Linked DNA regions of Schizosaccharomyces pombe. The protein of the gene in region 3 interacts with the protein of the main gene of each other region in a pairwise test. Each region holds a gene or a part of one and is shown on either strand. Other genes may lie near its edges.

What was found.
Region 1: the proteins of noc201 (region 3) and num1 interact in a two-hybrid assay, tested with the Schizosaccharomyces pombe proteins (one large-scale study listed by BioGRID).
Region 2: the proteins of noc201 (region 3) and SPOM_SPBP4H10.16C interact in a two-hybrid assay, tested with the Schizosaccharomyces pombe proteins (one large-scale study listed by BioGRID).
Region 4: the proteins of noc201 (region 3) and tea3 interact in a two-hybrid assay, tested with the Schizosaccharomyces pombe proteins (one large-scale study listed by BioGRID).

Annotation. Positions count from the first base shown.
Region 1 is NC_003423.3:896,176-901,910, forward strand, and holds num1 (dynein-anchoring factor Num1), read left to right. Parts: upstream 1-1,880; 5' UTR 1,881-1,899; coding exon 1,900-4,806; 3' UTR 4,807-5,188; downstream 5,189-5,735. Other genes in the region: serine/threonine protein phosphatase PP4 regulatory subunit 3 Psy2, read right to left, coding at 1-188, 247-958.
Region 2 is NC_003423.3:2,905,441-2,909,166, reverse strand, and holds SPOM_SPBP4H10.16C (phosphatase activator), read left to right. Parts: upstream 1-1,927; 5' UTR 1,928-2,042; coding exon 2,043-2,930; 3' UTR 2,931-3,205; downstream 3,206-3,726. Other genes in the region: SPOM_SPBP4H10.18C (uncharacterized protein), read left to right, coding at 1-280; SPOM_SPBP4H10.17C (carboxyl methyl esterase), read left to right, coding at 769-1,794; aco2 (aconitase/ribosomal domain-containing protein), read right to left, coding at 3,286-3,310, 3,351-3,726.
Region 3 is NC_003424.3:3,629,808-3,634,394, forward strand, and holds noc201 (Noc complex Noc2 family subunit), read left to right. Parts: upstream 1-1,713; 5' UTR 1,714-1,728; coding exon 1,729-3,852; 3' UTR 3,853-4,067; downstream 4,068-4,587. Other genes in the region: DNA recombination mediator Swi2, read right to left, coding at 1-1,534.
Region 4 is NC_003424.3:3,213,997-3,219,820, reverse strand, and holds tea3 (cell end marker Tea3), read left to right. Parts: upstream 1-1,547; 5' UTR 1,548-1,753; coding exon 1,754-5,131; 3' UTR 5,132-5,308; downstream 5,309-5,824. Other genes in the region: cardiolipin-specific phospholipase Cld1, read left to right, coding at 1-869; DNA-binding transcription factor Thi1, read right to left, coding at 5,515-5,824. UniProt on the Schizosaccharomyces pombe protein: Acts as a cell end marker required for efficient new end take-off (NETO), whereby growth is activated at the cell end to generate bipolarity in extending cells. Also required for proper placement of the septum.

The DNA.
Region 1 (5,735 bases), on a different chromosome or scaffold from region 3:
TTTTGCAAGAATCCGTGGATCCTGAATGGGAACCACCTGCTTAAACTTTTTGGAATCCATTAAATATTCCCGATGGTTCGCTTTGATATTGGGGAATTCCGGATCGTATTCGAGAATACCAGCTACACACATTAGCTTTTCATCATTAGAGAACAACGATTCGAGTAAAGGGGCGTCGTTCAATTGCACTGACAGCGATTAGCAAGGATTTAACGAATCTAAAAAGTATAAAGTAGATTAACATACCAAAGCTTTTTATTATGGAACACAATCGATGAAGGTCATCTGTATTCTCTAGATCCTCACACAGAGGAAAAAGTTCAATAAGTCTATCAATATAATTTTCATTTGAAACATAACGAACCAAACTATCTCTTGATTGAATAGACTGCATATATCCATATACTGCTTCTTCAATTTCTTTTAAATTAGCAAGCTCTGGGGCTGGAAGATCGACCGTGTTTAGGTAGTTTTCATTAAGCGCCCCCTCATCCGTCAATATATCATCGTTGGAGTAACTTCTAGTTACCGATGATATTGCCTTTTGAACATTTGCTAAAAACATCCACATGTCTATACAACCGCTAGATTCTTGAAAGCTTAAAGCAAGATCAGTACCATTCAATTCTTGCCAGACTATGAGAGTTTCTTCTTGACGGCTGTATATATCTTCCGCAATCAATTGTGTTTTCAAAAGGATGGTTTCATTATCAGCTTCTGAACGCACAATGAAATAAGCCAACGGTCCCTCTATTTTTCCATCGCAATAACCGGTGCCACAGTCTACCCAGTTTTCATCTTCCATTTCGTACACTTTTACACGTCTGGGAATCGATGGCACTTCGATCTTCTGCAATGCAGCTGCAATTGCTTCGTCTAATTCCTCTTCTTCATTTTCTCCATCTGAAATTTCATCAATATTATTATTTAAATCTTCCTCTTCCTTCGTAGAATCCATTTCTACGGCGGATTAAGGGTAGACGTCAGCTTCGAATTTACGACGTTGGCGTTCGTCACCAAATTTTCAAAAGTGAAGACGAAATTCAAACGTGGTGGTGAATGAATGCAATACCGTAGATTGCACCAAGATTGTAATTATTAATAAATGTATTTCTCATTAAATGGCAATGCCGCTTTACTTAATTATTTGGTTTGCCTAAAATATAACAAATAGATTTGTTAAGCAGTGTACTATGTATATTTCACGTGCATAATTTTGAAGTGTTATGGCAGAATTATGTTCTTTATAGAGTCAAATAACTATTATATACGTGATCGTGGTGCTTTCAGTCACTATTTTTCATTGTAATTCGGTATCTGTTTACAACAATATCATTAACGGACGTTATGCATTTTAACGATGAGTACTTCACCGCTCGGTGTATATGCTGTAATCAATCCTTATATCGAGTTGTGTTTTAAACGTTTTATACTGTCTACAATTAGCATTTAAATCTTTTCGAAATAGTAAATAAACTAAATATGAATATAAATAAAGTTAATTATTGTCTAAACACATGTGTAGCCTCGTCAAATCAATTTTTTGCAAGTCAATCATGAGGCTCAGGGTACATTTGTAAAGTAATAGTTAATTTTTAAGTACAAACTAATGGTATTTATACCGATATATATATTGAAAGCTGCTAAAGCTTCGCTAGATATTCAAGTACTCTAGCAAATGCATCAATATAAATACAGTTTTTTTGCTTTTACTAAGTTTTATTGTTAAAGCGTAATACGAGAAATTTGCCAAATGAGAACACGAATTGAATTGATATAATTCCAGAAATAAAAATTATGTATTCAAGACGATGACTGTTGCGATATGCATGCTTACGAGTTTATCGATATATAAAAGACAAAGAGAGTTGAGCTTACCAAAACATATACTGATCCTTCATGGAGAAAAAACAAGATAACGAGGTGGAATTATATTCAATTGATTTAAAAAATAGAAATGAAAGTGCAAAAATAAAGCTTGCTTATGCGAAAGCGTTAGAGGAAAGCATTCTTTGTGAAACACGAAAAATCGAACAAGAAATTAAAGACCAAGTGGTTCAAAAGGAAAATAAAACATATTTTAATAACAAATTTGATAATCGATATAAATTACGCGACTTGGAAAAAAATTTAGCGGAGGAGGAGGTGAGAATTACGGAGATGCTTACTATTCAACGTCAAGACATTGCAATTGAAAGAAGGAAGAACACAAATTGCTTCAGTGAGTCTTCTCAAGTAGATCAATATTCAGTTACTGAAACCAATCTACAATATGCTACTAACATTGGCTTAAACCTTCTGCAACAGTTGCGGTATTTAAGGCTGCAACTGTCAGAGAAAGAAGATTTGCATAAAAAGTTGTCAGTGGATAATGCCCATTTAATCAAGCAACTTGATCTACTTTCTTCAAACATGAAAACACTTATGAAAGAGAAGACTAAGGTGCAAGGACAAAGGGATTTGCTTGAACAAAGACTACAAGGATTAATGAAAAAATTGACAGAAGTAGAGTCTTTGACCGTTTCACTTAACGATGAGAAGAACAAACTGACATTGGAATTAACAAATTTAAGAATTTGCCTTCACGAGCTTCAACTGAATGCCGAAAAAGGCGAAACTATAGATGAAAGTGAAGATTCTAAAAATACTTTGGTAACTGAGGATGAAAACGACGATTCTGTATTTTTGGAGTCTTCCTCGGATAAGTATTTTGATAGTTCATCTTTTGATGCGGAGCAAGAAGAGAAACACGATTTTCCAATAGATCCTTTTTTGTCGTTGGAATCCAATGTACAAACTTCGGTATCTCAATCATCGGCCGTTCTCAAATCCATCAATTTAGCAAAACAGGAGTTAGTGAGTGTAAATCATTTGGTAGCTGACGATACTAAAACACCGTCTCCAAATTTATCATCGGAAATAATTGAAAACACAAAAGCTGACATAAAGAAATCAATCAGGTCTCTGAACAAGGCAGTATCACCAGAAAACTCTATAGACATCGAAGATGAAACCGACAGAGATGATGAGTTTATTTGCTTCCTTTTGTCTTATCAGCAACTACAAAAGGCGCTGAAAAGTAACTTGGGCCTTTTTCAGCTTTCTTGCTTGTACCCACTTTCTCTGAATCATCTTATTCAGTCATTCTTTCAATCTCTCACCTCTCAAATTTCAATAAAAGATATTGACTCAAAAAATAAACAAGTCATTAAACTTTTCAAACCGACTAAAAGCTCAGATCGCCAGGAAATTTTTGAATTGGCTCAATTTGAACCTCGCCAAAAATTTCCTATAGATACGAATTCTTCAAAATGCGACATGTCTGCAAGTACTGAGATGCATTTGAAAGATACTGAAAAATTTGCTAATTTCAAACTAAAAGAAAACATTTTAAATCATTCTTCTATTTACGAACGTGATGTTTCTTACCTGCCTGCATTAAACAAAGGTGGACGTGAAAATTATTTAAACAATCGCGTCTCCTCTTATAGGCTTGTTAAACCTATTTTAAATTCCTATGGAAATCATGTATTAAACCGTATACAACATGATATTCTGGAGAATCACTTCTGTTGTCTAAAAAATGTCAAAGACTTTGTATGTGGTGCAAATACAATCTCCATGCAGTGGAATCTGCAAAAGAATATGGAATTTATCAGCTCTGTTTTTTCCTTAATAAAAAATGAAGTAAATGACACATCAGCTAATAGTGTCATTCTAAGGACCGATGCGCTTTCAAATGTTGCTACCACGAGGTTGAAAAGAAAATTAACTAGCGCTATTATTGACTGCTCGATTCCTCGTCGGAGGTTGCGCCACTATAGTAATCCAGAAATAGCTGAATTTAAGAATTTTAGATTATCTACGGATATTTCCCACAGTAATGTTAGGAATTCGAAAAAGCTATGTTCCAATGGATCTATGAATTGTATGAGGCAAGGCAAGGCAGTTTTTCCTCGAAAGATCCCATATCAAGAGCATGACTGGGAACAATGGGAAAAAATTGCTCAATCCTCGATGTTTAAGAATCGTTCAATTGCTTCACGTCAATCATTGGAAACTTCTGATGTTACTTTGGACATTAATATGTCTTCAAGACATTCAAACGGAACTTCCTCAATGCTTTTCAAAGACTTTACAAAACATAATAATTGGGAGGCGTCAACTTATCCGTCTGCACCTAAGAATACTCGTACTTATCCAACAGCTGAAGTTGAAAAAACTCGGCATGATTCCTCGCAATCAGCACGTCAATTGAAAGCAAGAAGTACGGCTACGACGATTTCTATTTCCTTGTCGACGGTGTCAGACGTATTCACCTTACCTCGCAATAATCTCAAAAGCAAAACAAATACGAAAAAATGCAGAGATAATTTGAATCTATCAGGTTTATCTTCTTCAACTTGTAATGCAAATTCTGTGAACAAATTGATGAAACATGTCATGATGGGAAACGAAATGATGAAGTACCCGAGAAGTGAGAGTTTCAAAATGTTTAAAAAGAGTCATTGGCGCTATTTTTGGATTAACCCGCATTGTGAAATGCTGTGCTGGTCTAAAACAAATCCATTTATTGAAAAAGGAAGGAAAAATCAAGTCAAGTCTGTGAAAATTAAGGGAATGACTATTATAAAAGCCCCAGATGCCTTAAAGAACGCCAATTTACATAATGAAGTTATTGTGATGCAGACAACTGATAAGCCCATCGTCTTAAAAGCGAAAAGCAAGAAAATTCACAATATCTGGGTTCAAGCTATCAAACAAATAAATCATAAGGCTATCTTTGATACTAAGCCCGGCATTTAAGCATGTTTCAGTCATTGCTTATAAGTTTTAAAGTAAACTGTTTCAATATTCCCTAACAACTTTTAAAGTTATACCAATTGTTTTTATTAAGCGGCATCAAATAGAAAGATATTAAACCACTGTAAACAACTAAGAATCAAATGTCTTAATCAGTTTTGTAAATGAGGTTTATACGATCAAGCTTTATTGCAATTCGACATGCACTAATGAGGATGATATACTTTCCTATTTTGTCGAAAAAATTGCTCTTTCTATACAATTCATTTTTAATCAATCAATTTATCATACGAGACATTTAAATAGCAAACAAAAGACGACTAACGTTTAAAGGTAACATCGATAATGTTAGTTTTATCAAAACAAATTATCCCGTATAAGCAAAAGAAGATTCAGACTTAACCTTGACGGAGTTTTATGTGCAAAGAATTAAACATTGCTATTACTGGTAAACATAACAAATCTGGGCGACTTTCAATTACTGAATGAATAATAAGCAACCTGTTAAATGATTTTAGTGCCCAGATGCACTTTCCGTGTATTACCCCAAGAACTTTTAGCGAAAGTTAAAAAGAGCACAATATATCTGGCTAGTTATTTTACTGCATCGTTACATCATGTTAAAACTATTAGAGCTTACCATACAAAAACTGAAAACGTCACATAATTAACTCGGTACTACTAATTAGGTAAACCGTGCTTTTGCTCATTCCCTGTGGTGTGTCTCTTCGATTCAATTTTGTAGATTGTTTTCATTTTCCTTATTCCTTTCTTTTTTTAAGAGGGGTTTGACAGATACACAGCATTTCCAATTCTAAAAATTACTCATTTTAACAATTGCCATTGCTTTTATTCAAAGGATCAGCTAATTAAGTTCCTTTTTCAATAAGGGAGAAGGATATATTGGATTCTTGATTCCCAACGGTTAAAGA
Region 2 (3,726 bases), on a different chromosome or scaffold from region 3:
AAAGTCAATCTTGTTAAAGAAAAGAAATCAAGATGAAACTCAACTGACTACTGAGGAGGATTTTTCTGCCAATAATGATTCTACCGCAAAAATAGAGACCAGTATCCACGACCACAGAGATATTTCTAGAATAACACCTTTTGAACTTCCTTTTGTTAATCCAAAGCTGTTTGCTAGCTTTACTCCAATGTCGGTAGCTCTACCAGCTGGACGATTACTACTAATTAAACAGTTGCAAGAGAAATCTACCCAATCATCTTCTATGACAGGTCTCAAATAAAACCAGCTTATTGCCAAAAGTAGATAATACATTCATCTACTCATATTTTTGTCTCATACTAGCATAAAAAGTATAAATTAATTATGATTTTCAATCTTACTTTTACCATTGTATTTTAGTCACATTTGTCTGTAAGGAAAAATAGCGTTGGTGTAAAGCGAGGTAACATATTTAAATGTTACGTCGTTAATTTTTTTACGTAGGCGATGGAAGGCGTGTAAATCATTTGAGCATTGAGGAATCCGCAGTAAGTACAGGAAACTTCCACTGCATATTATTTACTCAACTTAGCTACCTGGGGAATACACATTGTTTGTTTTAAAATTTATCGATTTCAGAATTACATTGAATTAATTTTTTTTTTTTTCAATCAGGTCCGTTTCTGCTTCTGGGATTGTATATTCTATCTTCATAAAACCAACGAGGAATTCGTGTGAACTATTTATAGTGCTGCGTGTAAGCTAAAAAAGATATTATAATACTTTATAATGGCATTTCGTAAAGAAGAACTCAGTCAAACACTCTATGAGAATGAATCTGAGCAATCATCCGAAACCAAGGAACTAATGTTAAATAATGAAGAGAGTTTAAGCGATTGGCGAAATTACTTTGATGAAAAGTTAACAATTCCTGGTGAAAGTGGGGCTTTGAATGGGACTATCAATGGGTACTTAACACTTCCACAACCAGATGGTTGCTTACTTGTTTTGCAACACGGTGCTGGCTCAAGTGCCATGTCATTTGCACCGGTTACACAAGAGCTCTTGAGTAATTCAGATAATAAGGTTGGTTTTTTAGCGTTGGACCTTCGAGCTCATGGAGAAACAACGTTAGAACCCGAATCAGATATGAGCTTGGAAACATTATCTAAGGACTTTACTCACGCAGTCTCCTATGTTCAACGTATGTTTGAGCTTGATGAAAAAATCATTTTGGTCGGACATAGCTTAGGAGGTGCCATTTGTGCTTACTGTGCTTTTCAAAAAACTATTCCCAATACTTCTGGACTTGTTGTCATTGATGTGGTTGAAGGGACTGCGATGGAAGCATTGGGTTTTATGAAAACGTACCTCTCTAATCGTCCTACTAGCTTTAAATCAATTGATGATGCAATTTCTTGGCATATCAAGACTTTAGTTACTAGAAACAGATTATCGGCCTGTATTACAGTTCCTTCACTTCTCGTTCAGCAGGAAGATGGCACATTCGTTTGGCGAACCGATCTTTACAAAACATCGCCGTATTGGATGGACTGGTTTAAGGGTTTAAGTGACAAATTCCTAAGAGCACCATATGGAAGGATGCTTATTGTCGCTGGTACCGATCGTCTAGATAAAACGTTAACAATTGGACAAATGCAAGGAAAATATCAACTTGAGATTCTTCCTGAAACTGGTCATTTTGTTCATGAAGATGTTCCCGCTAAGATTTCCTCTCTACTTTTAAATTTTTGGCATCGCAATCAACCTTTGGTTTTACCTCCCAAAGTTGGTGCTACTCCTGTTCTACAGTAATCTTAATGATTTAACGAACTTTATTATACACTAAGAAAAATGCGTTATATAGTGGAGTATGTATGGTCATATAACGTTGTGCTGTGCAGGTTGCGTAGGCATCGATATCAAAGGCACCGCTTTCATAGTACCTATAAGTACGTTGCATTCGCATATATGATTGTATCTTTATTTATCATTACCCTTGATTAAAAAATAATTTATTTTATTGAAACTTCTCTTTTAAACACTCGAATTTTTGTGCCTTCATGTCTGTGATAACTCAGGCTCAGGAAATACCTACTGTAGCAGCCAATCCCGATTTCAATTATGAAGGAGATCCTATTATTATTCAATTATGCGATCGTGACACAGTATTTGAATTGAGTAGAGATCAGCTTTTAGGCCTCCCGGAATCCATCTTGATGTGTTTATTTCCTAGAGGCCTGTTGTTGGATTATGAGATTCAAGAATGCCAACTGACTCAAAGGCCATTAATATTTCAAACAGCTGACTTTGATCCTTCATTACTTCAGTACATATTAAATTATTTTCAAATGGCCGAAAATCGTACCGCTAATGATGAAATTGCATTATCACCACCTCCACCTTCTTTTCCTGGAAAATGTGGTATAATTCTGTTAAAAGAAGACATTGAGTTTTTTATCCTCCCACCCATTTCACCAACCACCAATATTGCCATTGAAGTTAGTCCGAACGATTTGCTTAAACTAAAACAACGTGTAGCCCAACGATTGCTGCAACAAAAGAAGATCTTTGATTGTTTACATCTCGAAAACTCCACCTCAGAAGGTTCCGCTGAAAAGAACCTTGTACGCATGCTTTGCTACAGCGGATTTCACGAAGATGACGAATGGAAACGGCGAATACAAGAACCACATCGCGCTTGTATTACTTCAGTCACTTTGACCAACCTAGATTTTAGTGCAGATCAGGGCCCTGTCTCTGATCCTGAATATTTTCCTGTTTATCACAAGTTGCTCCTCTTTTGGCAGAAACCAGCTCGGAAGTGTTGGTGGGATTCTTCTACCAGTATCACCTACAATGGGATCGAGTTTGCAACTTGGGTAAGAAGAGTTTGGACGTTGGAACTTGCTGTATTAGGCGCTAATACGTACGAGACTGCAGCGGTTTAAGTACAGGGTATGTTTCAAAGTTTAAAAGCATTTTTTCTCTTTTGTGTTTTTGTTGTTTTTGTTGTTTTTGTTATTCCTCTTTATTTTTAAATGAGCAAGAATTATTTTTGCGCAGCAATTACCTACTTAATCCTTGATTTGTAATTGCTTAAATTAGATTTGTACTCCTCCTACGAGTTTTATTATTTCTTGATCCTCTCTGAAATTTTTTTTATTATTTTATTGAACAACGTTCAGTATTACTTGTCACTATTTCCCTTAATACACAAAATTATTATATTAATTTACAAAATGTTTTAGTTGTCAGCAGCATACATGGGTGAAGTAGAAGACTAGATAAAAAGAAGAAAGGGAATTAGTTCAGTTTGAGTTCCGTAACCCTGGATGATTAGTAACATGATAGAATTGCTGCACACTTACCTTAAAATAGTATACGTTTGTTTATGTTTCATTACACGATCATGACGATGACGACGCTTGTGTTTTACTCGAACACTTAATGCGCTTTTAGGGAATGATAATACAACCGCTTCAATCGTAAACAATGAAGGGTCTACATACGGGTTACCAAAGAGAGTAAAATCTCTTGAGCCGAAGGAAGCGATTTTATCAAGTCGTATCGTATCACCAACCTGGACACCTTTCAAGTGAAAAGGCAATCCTAGTTGATCTCCTTTGGCTATAACAAAATGACGATTAAATATATACGCATCAGCATAGTGGTCAGGTTGTTGTTTTATTGAATCTATAACCTTTTGATTTACCACGCCAGAATGGGCCTTTTCGCGAATCAAAT
Region 3 (4,587 bases):
CATTGGACAAAATAGTATTTTTATAGGTGTTCGGTTTAATAATATTAGAATGGTTTGAATGATTATTCCCAATTGATAAAACACTGTTTTTGTATGAATTCGGCTTAGTGACATTAGTACGATTTTTGCTATTATTTTCATTCAACACAGCTTCGCCTCTGTTGGAAACCATTTCAGTTTGTACTTTCCCATACAATCCAGTCCAAACATTCTCCTTCCGAGATGCTAGAAGATCGACCCTCTTATGCTTATGGGAGGTAGCAGACTTAGGGGGAGTGTAATCATAGTTAAATTTAATACTTGAATTAGGAATATGCGTGGCTTGTTGTTCAGACTCATTGATGCAAGTTTCATCAAAGTCTTGATCTACACCGTAGGGATTCAACAAATCTTCTTGATGTTGAGATTCAGCTAGTGGTTGCTCAAGTCGACGTGATTGTTTCCGTTCTTCTATTGCCATTTTGTTAATGGTAATTAATGAATTTTCGGAAAAAGTTGGCTCCATATCACTAGGTAATGGAGAAATGTCAAAAATAGTCGGCTCACTAGACAATGGATCTTGACCAGTAGAATCAGAAGTTAAATCAGGGAAGTCTTCATCCTCTCTTGATGGCTCAAAATCAAATTCCTCAGAACAACCATTGTTCCAATCGATATGATGAGGTAACGAGGGCTCTGTATATATACTAGGTTTTATGGTAACCGGAATGACTACAGCATCGAAAACTTTTCTCGGTTTCTTAATCCTTGGAGACAGAGTAGGATATATTTCCTCCTTTTCAGGATACTTCCTCCAGCCTGTAGGTCTTCCCCTTCTTCTTGGCAATCCTTCCTCGAAGTTCAAATCTTTATTAACATACGAATACTTTCTTGGCCTTCCTGCCCTATGCTTCACTCTCGTCATTTCTCTTTTCTTCAGCATAATCAGTGCGGCTTCAGAGTCTGCAAATGCAGGGAATAGATTAGTATCGTCTGTAAAAGCCAAAGATTTAAATATAGGATCGAGATCACACAGCTGGTTCCAACCAAAATCACTTTCCGAATAATTTTGGGTTGATAATTGAGATTTACAACTTTGTGAGCTTAACGGTTCAATAACCTGATTATTCTCGTTAGGAAGAGTAACCAGTGGTTGATTTTCAGATTTATCTTCAAAGTATGCAAAGTCTTTATCATTCGAGGACACATGGCCGCTAATCTCTGGGTGGTCATCACAATGGGCATTGTATTTCACAAAAGAGGGAGATTCAGTTTTTGGATCAGGAGTCGTTGTACAAAAGAAAGAATCTGTGATAAATTCATTATTCATTTCATTTAAAGAAAAATCTCTAGAAAAGGTTCCCTTCATCTGGCTTGCTTCTGTTTGATTCATCGGTTTACCATCAGAATAATAGTATTCTACCGGCTCAAAGAAATGGGATCCAAGGTTTGAGCCGACGCCCTTTCCTTGCTCAAACCTTTCATTGTCGTTAGAGGAAATACTTTCAGATCCGGTGTTTACTGGTATCGACTCCTGCTTTTTGTTCACATTCATAAGGCCTATAAGGTTTCTCACGATTCTCAAAAAGCAAAATTCTGTTCAAAGCAATATACATTTAATAAATTTGCCGGAGTATGATTATTAAGGACATATCTTTGGTGTGGAAATTGTGAAGAAATTTGGACTGAGTATGGTGGGCACTAATTCTTGAAGGAGGTATTCTAACAACCTCTGTGCACATACCACACATGGTGAAGTTATCTTCCATTATAAAAGCCAGAAAAGCTAATGCTTTGGCTAAAAAGAATGACAAAATAAAAAAGAAAGACACTGATAAAGGCATACGACAAAAGCATTCTAAAAAGGAGGGAAAAGATGAAACATTGAAAAGAGACGTAGAAAAGTTTATTCAAAACGTGAATAGCGAAGACACCCCTTCTGAAGATGACTCCATGTCAATGGATGCTTTTTTGGAAGGCGGATTTGAAGAATTAGACTCTGCGAATTCGAATGATGCAGGTTCCTCAAGAAAAAGAAAAAATTTGCCAAATGAAAATACACAAGACTCTACCTCTGAATCATCGGAAGAAGAAGAGGATGGCTTGGAATCTTATCAAAAGCAATTGGAAGGCCTAAAGGAAAAGGATCCAGAATTTTACAAGTTCCTTGAGCAGAATGACCAAGACTTGCTTGAATTCAACGCCGCTGAAACAGACGCAATGGCGAAGGAAATTGATGAGAATGAACGTTTGAAATCTTCTAGCGGAAAAATCGTTCTGACAAGTGATACAATTCAACAATGGCAAAAGCTTTTGGAGACGAACCATTCATTGACCACACTACAAAAGGTCGTGCAAGCGTTTAAGGCAGCAGCATTCTTAAATGAGGAGGAGGCTGAAGATTTGAAATACACTATTAGCGATTCAAAAGTTTTCAATGACCTCTTGTTGTTAGCCATCCAGTACGTCCCCAAAGTGTTGAATTATCATGTTCCCATTCAAGAGGATGCGAAAGGAAAAAAATTTATAAACACTGATTCAAAGGTGCTTCCGAAGCTACGCCCTGTGTTAAAATCCTATGGATTTTCGATTTTACGTTTGCTAGAAGGGATGACCGATGCCAAGAATATCTCTTTACTACTTCGGGAAGCTCAGAATGTATTGCCTTATATGATTACCTATCGAAAATTCCTTAAACAGTTTACACAGGCAACTGTTGAAGTATGGAGTTCGACTCGTGATGACAGCGTTCGGTTTTCAGCTGTTGTATTGCTTCGTACATTATGCTTGACAGCTGACATAACTCTGCTGGAATTCGTTTTAAAAGAGGTTTATCTTGGTATGGCTCGACAATCAGCTTACACTACCGTTCATACACTCGATAAAATTAATTTCCTGAAAAATAGTGCTGTTAATCTTTTTTTATTGGACGCTGAATCATGTTATTTAATCGGATTCCGTTACATTCGACAACTTGCTATTACTCTTCGTAACACCATTCATCAACCTAGTAAGGATTCTCGAAAGCCTGTTCAAAGCTGGAGTTATGTGCATTCTCTAGACTTTTGGGCTCGTTTATTGAGTCAAGCAGCCTGGTTGAGTAGAGAAAAGGGAGTTGCTTCAGAATTACAATCTTTGGTCTATCCTTTAGTCCAAATAGCCCTTGGAGTTATAATGAGTTCACCGTCATCGCAATTATTTCCAATGAGATTTCACATCATCCGAAGTCTAATTTACTTATCGCGCCATACTGGTGTGTTTATCCCTCTTGCACCTTCGCTATTCGAGGTCTTGGATTCTTCTTATGTGTCAAGAAAAGCCAAAGCTAGTACGCTTAAGCCATTGGATTTTGACGTTGAGTTGCGTGCATCTTCGTCATACTTAAGAACAAAGGTCTACCAGGACGGTTTAATTGATCAATTATTGGAACTCTTGAGCGAATATTATGTTTTATATGCCACTGACATTTCATTCCCTGAGCTCGTTATACCCGCTATTGTCAGAAGTAAGCGATTTGCTAAAAGAAGCAAAAATGCTAAACTTAATCGTGGATTGTTGACTTTGGTGAATCGCCTTGAACAACAATCAAAGTTTATGACTGAGAAGCGAAATCAACAGAAGTTTGCTCCCATTGATTCCGATTCCGTAGAACAGTTTGCACAGACAATAGATTGGCAGCAAACGCCTCTTGGTATTTATGTTGTAACGCAACGCCAAACCAGAGAAGAGCAAAGAAAACTCATTCGTGAATCAGTTCAGCAAGATCAAGAACATAAGGAGCAAATGCGGCAGAAAAAGAAACAAGCGCTCAAAAGTGATGATATTGAATTGGATGACCTGAGTGAAGAAGAAGCAGAGGATATCGATGAGTAATTATTGGTGCCTTGTACGAAATGTTTTTAAGATAATCTGTTTGACAGTTCAGTTTAGGAAATTCGTGCTTTGTAAAAATTATTAGATAAACGTCAAGAGTATATCTCTTTCGGTCTTGGGTTTTTAATTAGGAGATACAAAAAGAAAATATATTGGGTTTGGTTCAATTTAGTTTACTTTATTTGGTATAATATATTTTGAATTTATTGTTTTTTAACCTTAAGTAAGTGATAGAGTATAGCAGTGTATCAATGTAGGTTTTCCAGGTTATACATTTCCAAACATATAAATACTTTTTGACAGGCTTTTATAAATAGACTTGCTTAATCTCTTGCAATATAAGTAATGGTTGTCAAATATAATGGTTTAATATATTACCACATGCGACAACGATGGCAACACGTCAATTTGTATCAAGTATGTCCATTGTTTTCAATTTATCTTCATAATCATTGACCAACCCAAATTGCGGGAAAAAATACTTCCCTACTGAATACACTCAATAAAACAATAACTGGTATGTAGTGATTGATCATCATAAACCATTTTTCAAAAGAAAACCTAATTGATCGATTTTATTGCCTTTTTGTAGTATTGTTCTACGCAGTTTTTCTTACTACGAACTATTCTTCTGCACTGATAACAAGCTACACTTAAGGGCTGCATTCAAGATTTCTTGACTATATAATTTATAAACTAGACATGTTTAATGTCTACGGCCATACCTAGGCGAAA
Region 4 (5,824 bases), 420 kb from region 3:
TCGATATCAAGGGGCAAACCGCTTCAGAGAAGGTCGAAGAAACAGAGAGGTTTTTCACTGAGTCATTAGAAACATGGAGAATCGGTCATGGTATCGAGAAAATGATCCTTGTGGGCCATAGTATGGGAGGTTATTTGTCTGCTGTCTACGCCATGCAATATCCGGAACGTGTTGAGAAACTCTTACTAGTTAGTCCAGTTGCCATTCCTGAAAACCCTTTTGCAAGCAACGATGATGCGGAAGTTTACAATTCCGTTGCTTCCTCTGCTGTGCATGCTGTTATGGATGAACCTCCTTTAAGTAATGTTACTAATGAGGTTCTGCAAACCCAAGAGGAAACTACAGGTTTAGAGCCTTCCCGGCCAAGCAAGCCAAAGAATCCTCTTCCAAGATTTATCACCTTCTTATGGGAGCAAAATGTTACACCATTTTCTCTACTTCGTTTAAGCGGGCCTTTAGGTCCTAAACTAATGAGTTTTTGGTCTAGCAGAAGGTTTTCAACGCTTCCCCCGGAAACGTTTAGGGCATTACATAATTACTGCTACTCAATATTTCGTCTCAAGGGTTCCAGCGAGTATGCACTTGGCAATTTGCTCGCTCCCGGAGCTTTCGCTAGACGATGTATTATGAATCGCTTGCGCATGTTGAAGTGTCGAACTATATTCATGTATGGAGATAAAGATTGGATGGATGATGTTGCTGGTTTAGAAGCGACAAACAGATTGAAGGAGATGAATATTGAGGCGGAGCACCACATAATTTCAAATGCTGGTCACCATTGCTATCTTGATAACCCTGAAGATTTTAATGAGATTGTACTAAAGGAGATACGAATGAGTTTACGTTCTTTTTCTTCGATTTCAGAGTAAATTTTTATTTTTTATGCCCTTCGCTTAGTGCTTCATTATTTTTATTTATTCTTTCTTGTCCTGCAAACTATCCCATGTGATGCTGTTATAGACCTCATTCATTAATTTATACTACACATTATTCTTTGGATTCCAATTGAACGACTTTTTTTTACCTAACTTTTTATCGGTCCATTTTGAATCGATTTTTATTGCATTGACGCTCATTTGCTTCATTTATCGCAATTTTATTTTTTTGTCCGATTACTTGTCCAGCATGTGTTTTCAAATGTTTTATTTTTAAAATGTGCCTTATAAATCAAATTTTGTAATATTTGTAGGCCATTTACTACAATTAGCTTATAAAGTAAATAACAGTTTTTGTGGTTGTCTATTTTAAATTCTATCCTATAGAGTAATTGGAAAAATACATTTTTCTTGCTCTAAGCTTTTCAAACGTGAAGCATATTTCGTACTTCTAAATTTCAATTCAAACAGAGCATTCAACGGTAATGTATACTATTGCGCTTAAACTTGTATCTACTCTCCCTTCTTTATGTTTAATGAAGATATAAATTATAAACATCATACAGTATTACAAAAATTTATTGTAGGGTATTGCAATTGTATTCGTTGTTCTAAGACTTCTCTACTCTAAGTTGCCGTTTCCTGATGGACTGTGTGTTTCCATTACCCTCCACAAGTTATGCTCTTTTCATATTATTTCGAAAATTTTACTTTTTAATTCTTTTTTAAAACTAAAATATATATTTTTTCTATTTTATTTCTTTTTTAAGCGTAAAAACCGAACCTTTTAAAAAACTCCTTGGATTAAACTTTCGCTTTGATTACCATCTGCAACTGCAAAACCAGTAAGCGATTTTGCAAGGTAAAGATCGCAATACATGGTTCAAAAGGTTTTAAGCCGTCAATCGGATAACTCTCAGGATGTGTCTGCTGAACAGCTTGATGTAGTGGAATCCGGTAGCATTGATCAGCAAAATATACGTGCATGGGTTGTTCGCAAAGTCAAAGAAAATGATAAAAGGACATCTACGAACCAAAGTTTTAAATGGGAAGCTGTAAAACCGGCTTCTTGTCTAGATGCTGCGAATGAAAAATTCATGTACTTACATGGAGGACGAGAAAAATCTGGTATTTCAAACTCTTTGTTTAAGTTGGACCTGGATTCATGCACGGTTTATTCTCACAATAGAGGGGAAGACAATGATTCTCCTGCTCGAGTTGGTCATTCTATCGTTTGTTCTGCTGACACTATTTATCTTTTCGGAGGATGCGACTCAGAAACAGATTCCACATTTGAAGTTGGCGATAATTCATTGTACGCATACAATTTCAAGAGTAATCAATGGAATTTGGTTTCAACACAGTCCCCCTTACCATCGCCTCGCACTGGACATTCTATGTTGTTAGTTGACTCTAAATTATGGATATTTGGGGGTGAATGTCAAGGAAAATATTTGAATGATATACATTTGTTTGATACCAAAGGGGTTGATCGGAGGACGCAATCAGAACTCAAGCAAAAGGCAAATGCAAATAATGTTGAAAAGGCTAATATGGAATTTGATGAGACTGATTGGTCATGGGAAACACCGTTTTTGCATAGCTCATCCCCTCCACCTCGTTCAAATCACTCAGTTACTCTTGTCCAAGGAAAAATATTTGTACATGGAGGGCATAATGATACTGGTCCATTAAGTGATCTTTGGCTTTTTGATTTAGAAACACTTTCATGGACCGAGGTTCGTTCTATAGGAAGATTTCCAGGTCCGCGGGAAGGTCATCAAGCTACTACAATAGATGACACGGTTTACATTTATGGTGGTCGTGATAATAAAGGGTTGATACTCAACGAGCTTTGGGCTTTTAATTATAGTCAACAGCGGTGGTCCTTAGTCTCAAATCCGATCCCTATTTTGCTTTCTGATTCATCTTCATACAAAATTGTTTCAAAAAACAATCATATTTTACTATTATATCTTAATGCACTTGACGCTCCTAAGCAACTGTTATGTTATGAAGCAGATCCCAAAAATTTGTATTGGGATAAGGATAAATTTTCTGATATTCCTGTTCTTCAGCATATTAGCATGAAACCTTCAAATGCTTCAAACCACACGGTTTCTCTTGGTTACCTAAACGACCGTCCTAATCATTCCAAAAAGAATTCTGTGACATCCACCTCGTCTAGTCAATTTAACAATTTTTTGGAGCAAAATCAAAAAGCCGTAAGATCAGCTAGGCATCGGCACTATGCTAGCTTGGATGAACAAGGATTACATTCTTTGAGAAACCTTAGTAAAACCTCTGGAATGAATCATTCAGCAGATTTCTCTCTTCACGAGTTTGGGCAAGCTGACCCCTTTGCTTACGAAATTGAGAAACCTATTGCGTCTCTTCCTTTACCTAATGGAAACGATACTATTTCTAGGTCTTCCGAATCTTCATCTCCAATCAACGAAAGTGAAAGTAATTCTCTGCTTAAACTCCAATCAGATTTTAAGTTTTCTAATTCTGATGATCGTGTAGCTTGGCTTGAGGAGCAACTGTTATATTGTATGCAACAAGGCTATACTCTCAAACCTCCTAACCTGTTTCAACACGTTGATGAAAAATTGAGGCTTGAGAAAAAAGAGCAGCTCAGTTATTTGGAAATACTGAAGGTGATTGAGCAAATGCTTGAATCTAATGAACAAAAGTTTAAAAAGCAAATCGTTAGCCTAGCATCTGAAAACGCAAAATTGGCTGCTCAGAGAGATGCTGCCGTGGAAAATGCAAATTATTCACGTTCACTGATCCAGAAAAAGACAACGGACGAAACTGTTGGATCTTTAATAGAAAAAGTTGGAAAGTTAGAGTACGAAGTTCAAGGGACTCTTGAAGAGGCAACCTCTTATTATCAAAAAAATACTGAACTTCAACAGTTATTGAAGCAAAATGAATCCGCTTCTGAACTCTTAAAATCTCGAAATGAGAAACTTTGTGTAGATTATGATAAACTTCGTAGTGTGTTTGAAGAAGATTCATCAAAAATACTATCTTTACAAAAAGAAAATGAAAACCTACAATCACAGATATTGCAAATTTCAGAAGAGTTAGTCGATTATCGTTCTCGTTGCGAGGCTTTGGAGTATGGAAATTATGAGCTGGAAACGAAGCTAATTGAGATGCATGATCGAGTGGAGATGCAGACAAATGTGATTGAAGCATCCGCTAGTGCTCTTGATGTGTCCAATACTGCCATATTGTCTTTTGAAGATTCGCTCCGTAGAGAAAGGGATGAGAAAAGTACGTTGCAACAGAAGTGCTTAAATTTACAGTACGAATATGAGAATGTTCGGATTGAGTTGGAAAATTTGCAATCTCGTGCGCTAGAGTTGGAGTCAGCCTTAGAACAATCAGTGTCTGATGCTAAATACTCGAAAGCTATAATGCAAAGCGGATTATCAAAGTTATTATCTTCTATTAACGAAAATAAAGATAATCTTAAAGAGTTTTCGAAGTCGAAACAAAAGATCTCCTACTTGGAGTCTCAGCTAGAAGGGCTTCACGAGTTGTTACGTGAGTCCCAGAGACTTTGTGAGGGTCGCACTAAAGAGCTACTAAATTCTCAGCAAAAGCTCTATGATCTAAAGCATTCATATTCCTCTGTAATGACAGAGAAAAGTAAACTTTCTGATCAGGTCAATGATCTTACCGAGCAAGCAAAAATTACTCAGCGTAAGCTCTCTGAGGTACAAATTGCATTGGCTGATTCAAAAATGAATCAACAGTTATCAGGAAAGGACTCTACTGACGTTCATCTTCCTACGGACTTTTCAGCTTCCTCCTCTCCCTTAAGATCATACTTTAACGAAGAGGATTCATTCAATAATGCTAGTGCTGCACATAGTTCAAAAGAATCTGACATACCTTCTGGTGGTGTGTTTACAAAATATCGTAATCATTTTGGTAATTTGATGACATCTGAAGAAACAAAAGCCCCGGATAACAATGATTTACATAAAAGACTTTCTGATGTTATCAACAGTCAGCAAAAATTTTTGTCTTTGTCCCCTCAGGTATCTAAAGATTATTATGATGTTCGCTCAAAACTAAATGATACCGCGGGCTCATTTTCAGGTGAAGAAATGCGTGCAATTGATGATAATTACTATGCCAGTCGTATTAAGCAACTGGAGGATGATTATCAAAAAGCCATAACATATGCCAATTGCTCAGATGAGTCATTTCAGCAGCTTAGTCATTCATTTATGTAACTCTATTCATCAACTAAGGATTTTTTATCTCTTTTTTGGTTTGTACAATTTTCTTAATAATTTTTTGAAGTGGTTTGATTTTTTCTACTTAATCTCAAGTCGTTTGACTACGTATGTAAATTACCACTATATTTAACAATAAAATACGCAATTATTTCTACTGCATTTACATTGACTCATTTATATTTTAAAAAGTAATGAAATTTAATTAACTTTTAAAAAGTAAGAGAAAATTTAAAGTATTAGATTGATGAGGATACTCTCAAGTGCAAATTACTAAACTGGTATTAAATGCTAATTCCTTAACCACGCGAACAAAGCATATGATGAATTACGTAGAAATAATTAAAACAAACAAAGACCTGCAAAAAACCATTAAAGATTCATCCATTTTTTTCAAGGGTCAAATTTGAAGTTTGCTCTGCAGTATGCGAAGACTGCTCAGAGACATTAGTAGGGCCTAGCAGTTCCGTCCAACTCAAAAACGTAGGAGCCGTCCATTGTTTATCAACTTCCAAATTGAGAACTGGATCCGGTAGAAAAGTTTCAGGTGTGAGCAAACTGGGTTGGTTACTAACATAACTTTTGTTTAGACCCGGAACATTATAGAGAGATGATGTTTGGTCAAAAGGTTGGAATGCTTCGTTTGGAGTACTATTACTACCATTTGAGCTTTCTCCTGTAAGCTTAAAG